Arabidopsis thaliana: one gene and its partner. The protein of the gene in region 1 interacts with the protein of each later gene in a pairwise test. Each region holds a gene or a part of one and is shown in the gene's direction. Other genes may lie near its edges.

Region 1 (5,628 bases):
AATGGGATTTAAACTTAGCCATACAACGATGATAACACTTACAAAAGATCATTTATATATACGAGACGGATCCCGCCAGTAGTATCGGGAGGAACGCGAGAACTGTTTATGACATTGCGACCTACACTTGTTTAAACATCAGATAACATATGATTAATAGTCTAAACTCAACGGTTTATTGAAACAGTTAGTGAAATAGGCCGAATTTAACGTGAAAAATACGTAACAGAACGTTGATTAATAGTTATATATATGTGGCCGACGCAAAGCATGACGTTTTCTGCACGAGCTGTCACGCAAGGTGACGACGTTTTTAATCAAAGTGTTTAGGGACTATAAACGTATAAATTAATCTGTTCGATGTTAATAGTTCTGATGCCAAGATGCGGTTCGGTTTTCTAAACCGGATCGAAAGTGATAATTTTTAAAAACTTAAACCCTAACTGGCTAACTCTTTCACTGACGACATACATAACACATTTCACTGACTAAACTTATTTTGATTAGTGTAATAAAAGAGTAAAGAACTCCAGTATTGGCGTATTGCTTACACTGATTCTGTCATCTCCACATTATTTATGTCAAGCGGATATGTTGGGTTCCTATTATTTCCCTTTTATCTAGTTTATAAAACTGTTATGTTATTATTGTTATGATGTACTATATAACATCCTCGTTTGCGGTCTCAAAAAAAAAAAAGACAACATCCTCGATTGTGGTGGAATCTGTTCCGATATATTATTGGTTAATTTTTGATTGAGGCGAACTAATTATGTAATAAGTACTCTTCTTTTCTAAACTTTGAATCATATATAGTCAAATATTGAAAATAATAAAAAAGAAGATACAGAAAATTTATTCGCACATGATTTTAAAATTGACGATAAAATCTTGAGATGGGGTCAAAATACAGTGCATTTTAGTGCCCAAAACAGCAAAACAATTTTGCGTGGATCTCATGTCGGAAGATAACAATAAAGATAAATATCATTGGCTATGTAATATATATAGATAGAACTGTGATATAAAAATCTATCGCAATATTTCTATTGTACAAATATGTTTCCTCTAACTCTTTCGTATACGTGGATAGATAAGGATTTTGATAGTGTTGCCTTATATCTTTTCTTTTCACTCTCTTTTTAAGTACCAACCGTTGCGTTTACTTTGTTCTTCCTTTTGGAACTAGACCCTAGGTCAAACGGGCCTGTGTAAATTTTTGGATTATACAGTTTTTAGCCGGTAAACGAAAAAGAATGTATTTTACTACCTAAGAAGAACATATCAGAAAGCAAACATTATAAAAGAAAATATCGTATAAGTATACTTCATCATTTAAGATTATTGATTAGTAAAATATATATCAGAAAGCAAACATTATATCAGAAAGCAAACATTAGAAAGATTTAATATTTTGAGAGAAAAGATAAATTATAAGGTATGATCTTATGAGAATTGAATCTCGAACACGTTGCTTTATAACACACTACAAAATGTATATTTTTATTGATAATATATTACCGAATCTTCATTACTAAAACCGCAAAAAGAAATCTTAAGTAAAGCTATACCTTATGATTTCTCGAAGTCAAAGTTTCTGTAATTAGAAAGAAAAATCAAATTTGCTTTCATGCCGAACTGTAGATAAAGATTTCTAAATCATGCCGACCATACTGTCCATTTTTTCAATATTATTTAAAATTCCATGAATATCCATCCTCAAAGGGCCCTGTCTAGAATACGATACAACTAGTATATAATAAGTCTACAACTACGTAACGGAGTTATCATTCTAAAAGATAATACATATTTGACAAAATAAATAGAAAATTAAAGTTTTTAAAAAAATATTTGTAAAATTTATGAACATAGTGGTCATTTGGTCGAGAAAGAAGATTTTTTTTTTCTTTTAAGATGAAAAAATTGTATGGGTCATTAATATCATCTTATTATTTAAAGATGTACAAGCTTTAGCTTATCTCATTTAAGGATGTACAAGTTATATGCATACACACGCAAAAATAAAAATAAATCAAAGTTTAATATTTAGTTTGGTGAGAAGAATTTGAGTCATTGACATAATAAATTTTGAAATCATGTTTGAAAAGGAGACTATAAGCTAGTATCGGTCCCTAGACGAAATGATGCCTCAAGAACATACGAAGTTTATTAATTAAACTTTATTTCTATTCATTAACAAATAAAACAGCCAAAACAAAACTAATTCAATACCGACATGATAGATAAAATCCATTCAAAACCTCAAACAAATTTGTTTTGGAGTTAACAGAAATAAAATATTTTGAATTTGTAGATACTCCTACATGAAAGAAAAATGAATTACGATATCAAGGACCAGCCTAATTATTTTATTTTGTTAGCCTAATTTTCATTTCTACAAAACATATCTCCATCACGATTTTATTAAAACAAATCCCATAATTCGATTTTATTATGTGGATGTCATGTTTACACGTGTCATATTACAATTCGTTAAAATACAGTGTCTCTTCTCTGTCCGACTGGGCATGACAGATCATCCAAGCAAATCAAATACCCAACTCTCACACGTTCTCAAACAAAAACTTCAAAGAGAGAGAGAGAGAGAGTTTTGTGAACTCAAGAAAATAAAAAAAGTTATAGTTAATGGGATTCGGCTTAGAGAGTATCAAATCAATCTCCGGCGGATGGGGCGCGGCGGCGCGTTCCTGTGACGCTTGTAAATCAGTTACCGCCGCCGTGTTCTGTCGAGTTGACTCAGCTTTCTTATGCATAGCATGTGACACAAGAATCCATTCCTTCACTCGCCACGAGCGCGTGTGGGTTTGTGAAGTTTGTGAACAAGCTCCCGCCGCCGTCACTTGCAAAGCCGACGCCGCCGCTCTTTGCGTCAGTTGTGATGCCGATATTCACTCTGCTAATCCTCTCGCTAGCCGTCACGAACGTGTCCCCGTCGAAACTTTCTTCGACTCAGCCGAAACCGCCGTCGCCAAAATCTCAGCTTCTTCGACTTTTGGTATCCTTGGCTCATCCACCACCGTTGATTTAACCGCTGTTCCGGTTATGGCTGATGATCTCGGTTTATGTCCGTGGTTACTTCCTAATGATTTCAACGAACCGGCTAAAATCGAAATCGGAACTGAAAACATGAAAGGTTCTTCTGACTTTATGTTTTCTGATTTCGATCGGCTTATTGATTTCGAGTTTCCGAATTCGTTCAATCATCATCAAAACAACGCCGGAGGAGATAGTCTTGTTCCGGTTCAGACGAAAACAGAGCCTCTCCCGTTAACTAACAATGATCATTGCTTCGATATTGATTTCTGCAGATCAAAGCTCTCTGCTTTCACTTACCCTTCTCAATCAGTCAGCCACAGTGTAATTTCCCTCCGTCAAAATCAAATCTTTTATCATAAAATTTGCTTAAATTCAGTAAAAAACTAATCTTTGAATTTTGTGATTTTCAGGTTTCGACTTCTTCTATTGAATACGGTGTAGTTCCTGACGGAAACACAAACAACTCTGTTAACCGGAGCACGATCACTAGCTCGACGACTGGTGGTGATCATCAAGCGAGCTCTATGGATAGAGAAGCTAGGGTTTTGAGGTACAGAGAGAAGAGAAAGAACAGGAAATTTGAGAAGACGATTCGTTACGCTTCGAGGAAAGCTTATGCAGAGTCACGGCCAAGGATCAAAGGCCGGTTTGCGAAAAGAACAGAGACAGAAAACGACGACATTTTCCTTAGTCATGTTTATGCTTCAGCAGCACACGCACAGTACGGTGTCGTACCAACGTTCTGATTCGAATCTACGGTGGATAAACAATCAACCTGAAGACTTCATATCTTCCACCGTTGATTTACAGTCGGTGTATAATAAGTATAGTGAGTCTTACCGTAGACAAACATCTTATCCTCTTTACCGTTTTAATTACTTTTTTTTTACGCGCTCTCACTGCCACTGTAACTCTTTTTTTTTTTCTTCCTATATATGTATGCTTATTTTTATTTAGAAAATGTTATGAAATCATATAATTTGGTAATTATAGTTTCTATTGGCTGATGTTGTCTTGTCGCTAATCATATAATTTGGTAATTCTAATCTCTATTGGCTGATGTTGTCTTGTCACTAGTTTTGTTGATGCAGATTAGGTGGAGTTTTGGCTTGGTAATTGTTACGTAGCATAAATTATAACGAAAGCACAAACTATATGACATTTAATACTAATAGGGGGAGATTTTTAGGTCACTATAACTTACACAAAAGTATTTTTCTGAGATTTATCTAATCAATCTAGCTCATGCATTTTTAATATTTGTATCCCATGCACGAGAAGCATCGGATTTTTGTTTTTTTTGTTACATGTAGTTGTGAGTTTTTTTTTTTATGTTTGAAATCATGAAAAAATAGTCATACGTATGTGTAAACTATCTCTCTAATCTACCGTTGAAAGCTTTTTATTTGTTGTTTTCTTTGTTCCGAAAATACTTATTGTATTACTGAAAAGTTTTTTGATTCGTTAAGGCATATATGTATATTCCAGATCCAAAATCTCTGGAACTTTCGCAGAGTTAGTGAAAATAGTTGCTTTTCCGGAAATCGATCGTAGGAAAAGAAGGGAAGGTTGCAATTAATGGTTTTGTCCGAAACTTCATTAACTTTGCCTTTTGGGTAGCTGTAGAGCCAATCTTATCTCTCTGCAAGAACGTGATTATTGTCAGATAAAGTCAAAGTCCATTTCAACTGTGATATTTTGTCGTTAGTGATCGGTGATTTATGGTATCACTATCTCGTATTATCTAATAGCCTTTACACAATCTCGGACCTAAGTTAACTATATTCATTCAAGGAGGCTAAGAATGAGCCAGAGTATTTTCTTCATTTTAGATGTTTACACTGATCTACCACAATTGAAATCATAGTAGCTAGGAAAACTTGAATCCTATCTCTTATATTTCAGAGTATATATTTGAACCACTAAACTATTCTAAACCTTCGACTGTTAGATGATCCACTGATAAAATATGCACGTAATAACCTTGTTATGTTTTTCTAATAAATCATCTACTCGTAAGTTACCTTATAGTTTACTTAAAAGTTATATCGTAGTGTCTTTGCAACTACTATAGGACTTGCATACGTATGATATAACAAAGTATGTTAAAGACATATCAATTTGTTAATACATACACATAATCTTCTAAACTCACGCAGCAGTCTCTTCAAATTCATACCACCTCTAGCTATAATCTCGTTAACATTTTTTTAGAATGTAGCTACTTTTTATGAAATGTATATACAGTATTGTGAATATATAACTCATGATCAATACTTTGGATTGAGATATAGTTGAATGAGACTTCTGCCGTCCAAGTGGGTTTAGAGACCTTGATACAAGGGGCAATTTAGGCAGGATATTTTTTTGGAAGGTAAGCTTGAGATTTGCAAATAGTGGCTACGAATGCTTTGGGGCCACATATATACAATCATAATAACGTTAATAATAGCGCATTAAAGAAAAGTTTTGACAATACATAGAACTAAAGTTTGATTTATTAAACAAAAAAAAAACAAAGAATTAAAAGTTGGATGTTGAGTGTCACGAATAAATTGGGTAAATGTGGTG
Region 2 (6,697 bases), 3.4 Mb from region 1:
TATAGCTGGGAGGAACTTGGGACAACAAAATGAAGGTGAGGCATCGTGCAATTGCAATAACTGAAAAAGTAAAAAGATGACTTTGTAAATTGTAATAAAAGATTTCAAAAAATGAAAACAAAAATTCAAAATATATTCATATGCCCCTATCGATATTGTACAAGTCTGATTTATCTTTTTCTTATTTGTCGAATTCTAGTGCGATGCCTTATACCATTGTGGTATGTACTACTTGGAAATCGAGTTGGATGCATTGGTCGAATATATAAAAAAACAGTTTATTTATAGAAAGTTTCTCGAATAAGAATATAAATATATCGGCTTTAGTGCACCCATCAGTTTCTTGAATTCCAATTCGAGACAAAAAAAGTTTTTTACAACTACTAGCTCCGAATCATAGCTTCTAGTCAGATGACGATGCCCGGAGTCGTATTTTATTTATTTCAGCGATTAAGGAGATTATTAAAATATTTATGGTTGAAAATTATTTGAAACGAAATTTGTTAAATCTTATAATCTTGCTCGGAGAATTATGCAAGTATACTGTATACATATATACACAACTATCAACTACAGTGATATAAAAAAGACATTATGATGATTCGAACAGTGGCTGTGTTAGTACTTGTAAATTTGAAAGAGGTAGATACGTAGCATGTTTTTATTCACGTGAGTCACGTGAGTTGTGGAGAGATCAAGCTTCCGTGATCTTAATGAAAAGTGGAGCCCATAATTTCAACTGTCTAGATTCACCGACAGTACGAGGATGATTTTATCGACCGTCCGATGTTTCCAAGCTGTCATCGTATTTTTATTTTTTTTTACAAAACATCAGTAATAATAATAAGATTTTCTAGTTTGAGATGATTGTGCCGACACACTTTTGGTGTTATGTGTCTCTCAATATTTTAAAGTTTGTACGCATTCCTAATTATATTCACTAGTCAAAAGTTTCATACAGCCCACGTTTATCATGTACTTAATTTTAAACAGTCTTTAAACCAGATTAGTTTAATTCATTTAAATAGTAATTACGTTGTTTAGTCAGAAACTGGATTATAGATCATGATAAGGTTGAATAAGATGTGGACAAGCACAAACCTATTTGAAAACGTCGTTATTCACATTATTACGCGTGTTACTTTTGTTAAAATGTGAGTCTTTCGAAGTTTGAAATTGGATTTTGATAATATATGTGAAGAAGTATAAAATATATGAATTCTAAAACCAATAATCCATCATAAATACTGAACATACACATATATCCTAGATTTGATTTCTATAGATTCGCTATTGAATAAAAATATATGGTACATGCATGCTAATCACTGATTAATACTTTGGTAACAATATATCTTCTTGTGGCATCTTCAAATTGGTTGGATTCCATGATAGGGGAAAAAAGCTATCTACAATCAAAAAGAAAAACGCCATCCGATATGATTTGTTAGCGAGACAAATGTGGGGCTAAGATTGCCATTATGGGAAATGTGGGGCTAAGATTGCCATTATGGGAGTCGATATATGCGTAGAGAGAAAGAGGGAGAGGGAGTTTTTGTAATTACTACTTAGGGAAAGAAACAGAGAGCATCAAAGCATCGTCATAGTTCCATTAGGGGAAGGTTTGGCTTTTTCCTCCCCCACTTGTAATATTATTCTTTCACGCTTTGGATCTCCTTTTACCCACACCTATTCTTTGCTTTAGTAACTACTAAACACGTATTTAGAAATATGCGTTTTGAAATTTTTTAAATACAAAAAATTCTGTGTGTCAATATAGACAATTTTATTCGTTCTTTTTTTTTTTGGGTCAGCAGACGCTACTAATTAAACTTGAACTTGTCTCAAGAGAAACATGCAAGTATAAGTACGATTCTGAAAAGAAAATGATCCACTACAAAAAAAATAAGTATAACTATATCAGTATCAAGATTCTGTTAACATCATTATAAAAAAAGTAAAGTAAAACAATAGTTGCATACTTGCATGATGAATGATTAACCAGAGTTATGATTATCTTTTTATAAACGATAACCAACTGTTGCAATAATTTTTCATTGCTGATTTCAAATAAAACATTACTTTAACGATATGGGGGAATTTTTAAGAAACAGTAGAGACGTTAATAAAAATCCCATATGCGAGAAATCTCAAAAAGGTTATATGTCGAATACATTTTCAAATTCATCTATTTTTTTTCTTTCTAATTTTCTTAATTTTTTAAATAAAATGTCGATGTATATGAACATAATAAAAAATGGAGAGACAGGATGATTATTCTTTCTGAGTTGATGTAAATACCTTAAGTAAATGTGAAAACAATGATTAAAAATCAAAATGTGAAGGGAGAGTGAGTACACGCGCGTATAACAAGAGAGTGAAGGTGTAATCAAAGCAATGGAAAGAGAGAAAAAGCTGTTTCCCGTACTCTTGGATAGGGGCATTTTAGGTATTACTTCGTTTTTTTTCTTTTCCCATCACATTATTTCCGTTTCCTTTTCTTCTCCTACGAAACTCTTTTACACGGATTTGTTCATCCTGTTTTTTGTTTTTGTTTTTACACATTTGTAATTTTCTATATTCAACAAATATACAGGGAATTACATTTTTAAAAAAGTTTCGCTCCACTAAACAAACATAAAATTTTGTTTGTAGATAACAACATGATTATGTTGTTGATGTTGAAAATAATCATATGCTGCTGAATTGATGTCCCAATTTGTTTTCGGAGAAGAAAGAAAGATATAAATTATAGTCCTAAAATGATAAATTGTGAGTAGTTGGAGTAGGAGAAATTAAATAGGACAATAAATAAAAAATAAAGATACTCCCATCTACATCCTACATTTTAGTCCATAATAATTTCAGCAAACTTTTGAATTTCTGAATTTACTTGCCCTTTTTATATAAAAGAAAAATGTGATGTCAATACTCAGGAGACCAAAAACTAGGAGACAGTCTAATACACTTGTATTGGGAAAGAATCAATTTTCAAAATGAATTTCTTCATAAATATTTTTTTTTCCTTTGACTCCTTTCATTGATAAAAAAAAATCCTGCACCTCTCTAATGATGAATACTTGAATAGAGTCAGATATTTATTCTATTAAATAATTTAGTTATTTATTTAGAACCTACCTTTATTTGCTTTGATGGTTATTCTCATCTGAGTTTTCTTCTTCTCTCTTATTTCTCTCCCAAGTTTCTTATTTTTTTTCCTCTTTACTTTACACAAAGGAACAACAAATAATGTGGAACCTTAACGACTCACCCGATCATCACGAAGAATCCGACAGTAGAGGGAATCCGGTCGGACACGTGTCAAACGGGATGAGTCAATCTGCAACGTGGCTACCGTTTGTGCTTCCGGTGACCAGGAATTTCTTTCCGGCTCAAAGCATGGAACCGGGAGTTCGTTGGTCCGGTTTCAATAGTGTCGGTAAGTCGGATCCAAGCGGATCGGGTCGACCAGAAGAGCCGGAGATATCACCGCCGATAAAGAAGAGCCGACGTGGTCCTCGCTCACGTAGCTCTCAGTATCGAGGAGTTACGTTTTACCGACGAACCGGAAGATGGGAGTCACATATTTGGTAAATCACATAATACCTTTTAAAACCATATGTAGTGTTATCATTTCAATTATTTTCATAAAATGTTTTGGAATATTATGCAGGGACTGTGGGAAGCAAGTGTACTTAGGTATGGTTCATATACATAAAAATTACGATTTAACTTTTGTGTCTTCGATTTATTTGACAAAACAAAGGGTTTTGTTTCCTTCTAATTGTTGTTACATATATATGCAGGTGGATTTGACACTGCACATGCTGCTGCTCGGTATATTTTCGAACCTAGCTAACGCATTACTATACTAGTATCATTTTTTGTTCATTATTTTGTTATTGGCTATAATATGGGTCAATAAATATTTGAGACAGAGCCTATGATCGAGCGGCGATTAAATTCAGAGGTGTAGATGCAGATATTAATTTCGACATTGAAGACTACCTTGACGATTTGAAACAGGTTCTATATAAGTCTTTTATGGATATATCTACTTTAGGTTATACTAGTAATTTAATTACTTACTACTCAGAAGAAAACACAATGAAATATTGGTTTTTTTTTTTTGCAGATGGGAAATTTGACAAAGGAAGAGTTTATGCATGTACTTAGAAGGCAAAGCACTGGGTTTCCAAGAGGCAGTTCTAAATACAGAGGTGTTACTTTGCACAAATGTGGAAGATGGGAGTCACGTTTGGGTCAATTCCTCAACAAAAAGTATTAATTTCTTCATAGTTTTTGGTGCAAATATTAAATTTCCAGTCTGTTTCTTATTAATTTGAAGTGTCCTGTTTGCTTTTTTTGTTTGCTATCTTTTCAGGTACGTTTATTTGGGTCTCTTTGATACCGAGATTGAAGCTGCTAGGTACTTCTTCATTATTCACTGTCTCATCACCAAAAAAAATATTTACTTTTTTCCTGGTACGAAATATGAAAAAACTGAAATTTGAATATAGAGCTTATGATAAAGCGGCAATAAAGTGTAATGGGAAAGACGCTGTTACCAATTTTGACCCTAAAGTATACGAGGAAGAAGAAGATCTTAGCTCAGGTAAATTTATTTTTACTTTTTTTTTTTGTCTTAAAATTTACTCCAGTCACCAGATTCTATTGTAAAAATCAACAGAGACGACGAGGAACGGTCATAATCTTGGTCTAAGTCTAGGAGAATCATCATCTGAAGAGTTTAGACTCAAGTCTGATGTAAGTGTTCATGTTTGTGTATGTATATTGTTTTTGTCGGAAAATAATTAAATTGGTGATATAATTCATATGTATGATAATTTTAAAGATTGCAAGCATAAGAAGTAGGATTAGAGATGAGGAGAGATTATTAGGGAGCGATCTATCGCTAGCAATGATGACGACGACTGTCAGATCGGAAAAGCAGCAATCGGACGGTGGAGGAAATCGAGTGGTGGGAATGGCAGCATCATCAGGATTCTCTCCTCAACCTTCCCCTTACCGCATTCCTCGCACCTTCCACTTCTCTCGTCCCTGATTCATCATCATCATCATCACTATCATCACAATCATCATCTGAGCTAGTGTTAACCAAGTTATGCTTTAATGAATTTGAGTTATTCTCGAGCTATTTTTGGGCTCTGTAATACATATATGTTCTTGAGTACGGTATAACAAGTTTTTTTCTTTCTGTTAATTTAATCAGACAACAAAAAAGGTATACTCGCGAGTGATCCTAACTCCAAGTTCATACTAAATTTATGTCTTCGCCTGAAATAGAGAGATAACCAAACGGATTTAGTAACCAATTACTGTTCTTGCTAAACAGATAAAAGAGTTTGGTGTGAATAAATGGAGTGAAAACGTGATCACCTTGAGTGAGTGAGACTTAATTATATACAAAGAGCACCAACATCTGGTGCATTTGCTTCAACTTCATTCGATGTTCCTCTTCTCAAATTCTTTCTCCCCTTCTTCGACTCCATTGTTTGGCTCCTGCAAATTAATCAAGAAACACTCATCTTTAGTTAAGTTCTGCTTTGAGTGTTTTGCAGAACCGTTTTAAGAAACTTACACTAACAGTTTTACAGAGGATCTCCCAGTTGCTGTTCCACAGCAGGACTTGTATTTCTTCTTTGAACCACATGGACATGTTTTATTCCTTGGGATCTTCTGCAGTTTTCACAGAAATCCTTTTATATTCGGATCATATTTTAATGCAATCATAAGGAAATAAGCTATCTCATGGTTTAAGCGAGCCAACAAACCTTATCATCGGTCTGTGTAGTGCACTTGGCTTGGACTGTTTCACTGTTATTGCCGCTAGCTGATTCCTCCTCTATCAATTCTTCTCTGGCTTGCTCGGTGTTTTCCATTGGACTATCACTTGCATGCTTTGGGTTGATGGTATCTGATGCAGAGGCGGTTTCTGTATCATTTTCAGTCAAAGACTCCATTCCTTGGTCTGCTATCAGGAATTCTATAGCAGCATCCACATCACCATTAACTTGTAATAGAACCTAAAGATAAGAGAGGACTAATGATCATGATATTCTCTCAAACATTAACCAAGCATCGCATTATCACCTGTTCAGCTTTCTCAGTATTGTCACAACAACTACCAGACATGACAACTTTGATAGCTCCAGCATTCACATGACACTTATCAGCTTTATTTTTGGACTTGCTCTCTGTAGCTTTCGCTTGTTTAGATGCTGCTGAAACTTTAGCATCAGCCTTCCACACAACTGGAATTTATTAGGACAGAAAAACAGACAATTTATGTATATTACAGATAAACACAGAGCTAAAGTTTGAAGTAAAACCTCTATTACAACAGGCCTGGCTGGTCCTCCACAAGCATCTTCCTTGGAACGCACACTGTTGTAGTGTTCCCCATCATGGTAAGACCTGAAAGAGAAACTATTAAAGTAAAAGCAAATTCAAACCGATAAAAGAATCATTAACAGAACCAAGTATACTTACAGATGGATCATGCGGGTTCGCGTATCTTCAAAGTTGCGTATATACCAACGCGGTGACATGTTCTGCAACATAAAGATACCACTGCTCAAACAAACGTATCGATAAAAACGAAGCAGATGATGAGAAGAGGCATTGTTATTATTACCCTGTGAATACATATATTACTGCGAGTGACAAGAGAAGC

Evidence for each region. Proteins that work in one complex are often made in the same cells at the same time.
Region 2: the proteins of COL5 (region 1) and TOE3 interact in a two-hybrid assay, tested with the Arabidopsis thaliana proteins (one study listed by BioGRID).

What each region holds. Positions count from the first base shown.
Region 1 is NC_003076.8:23,352,927-23,358,554, forward strand, and holds COL5 (CONSTANS-like 5), read left to right. Parts: upstream 1-2,410; 5' UTR 2,411-2,646; coding exon 2,647-3,378; intron 3,379-3,467; coding exon 3,468-3,803; 3' UTR 3,804-4,063; downstream 4,064-5,628.
Region 2 is NC_003076.8:26,800,487-26,807,183, reverse strand, and holds TOE3 (target of early activation tagged (EAT) 3), read left to right. Parts: upstream 1-2,934; 5' UTR 2,935-3,249; coding exon 3,250-3,590; intron 3,591-3,673; coding exon 3,674-3,699; intron 3,700-3,806; coding exon 3,807-3,837; intron 3,838-3,938; coding exon 3,939-4,026; intron 4,027-4,135; coding exon 4,136-4,281; intron 4,282-4,384; coding exon 4,385-4,429; coding exon of another isoform or gene 4,430-4,514; intron 4,515-4,520; coding exon 4,521-4,615; coding exon of another isoform or gene 4,616-4,680; intron 4,681-4,690; coding exon 4,691-4,767; coding exon of another isoform or gene 4,768-4,818; intron 4,819-4,855; coding exon 4,856-5,065; 3' UTR 5,066-5,235; downstream 5,236-6,697. Other genes in the region: AT5G67170 (SEC-C motif-containing protein / OTU-like cysteine protease family protein), read right to left, coding at 5,421-5,523, 5,603-5,700, 5,796-6,047, 6,115-6,264, 6,354-6,438, 6,514-6,575, 6,659-6,697.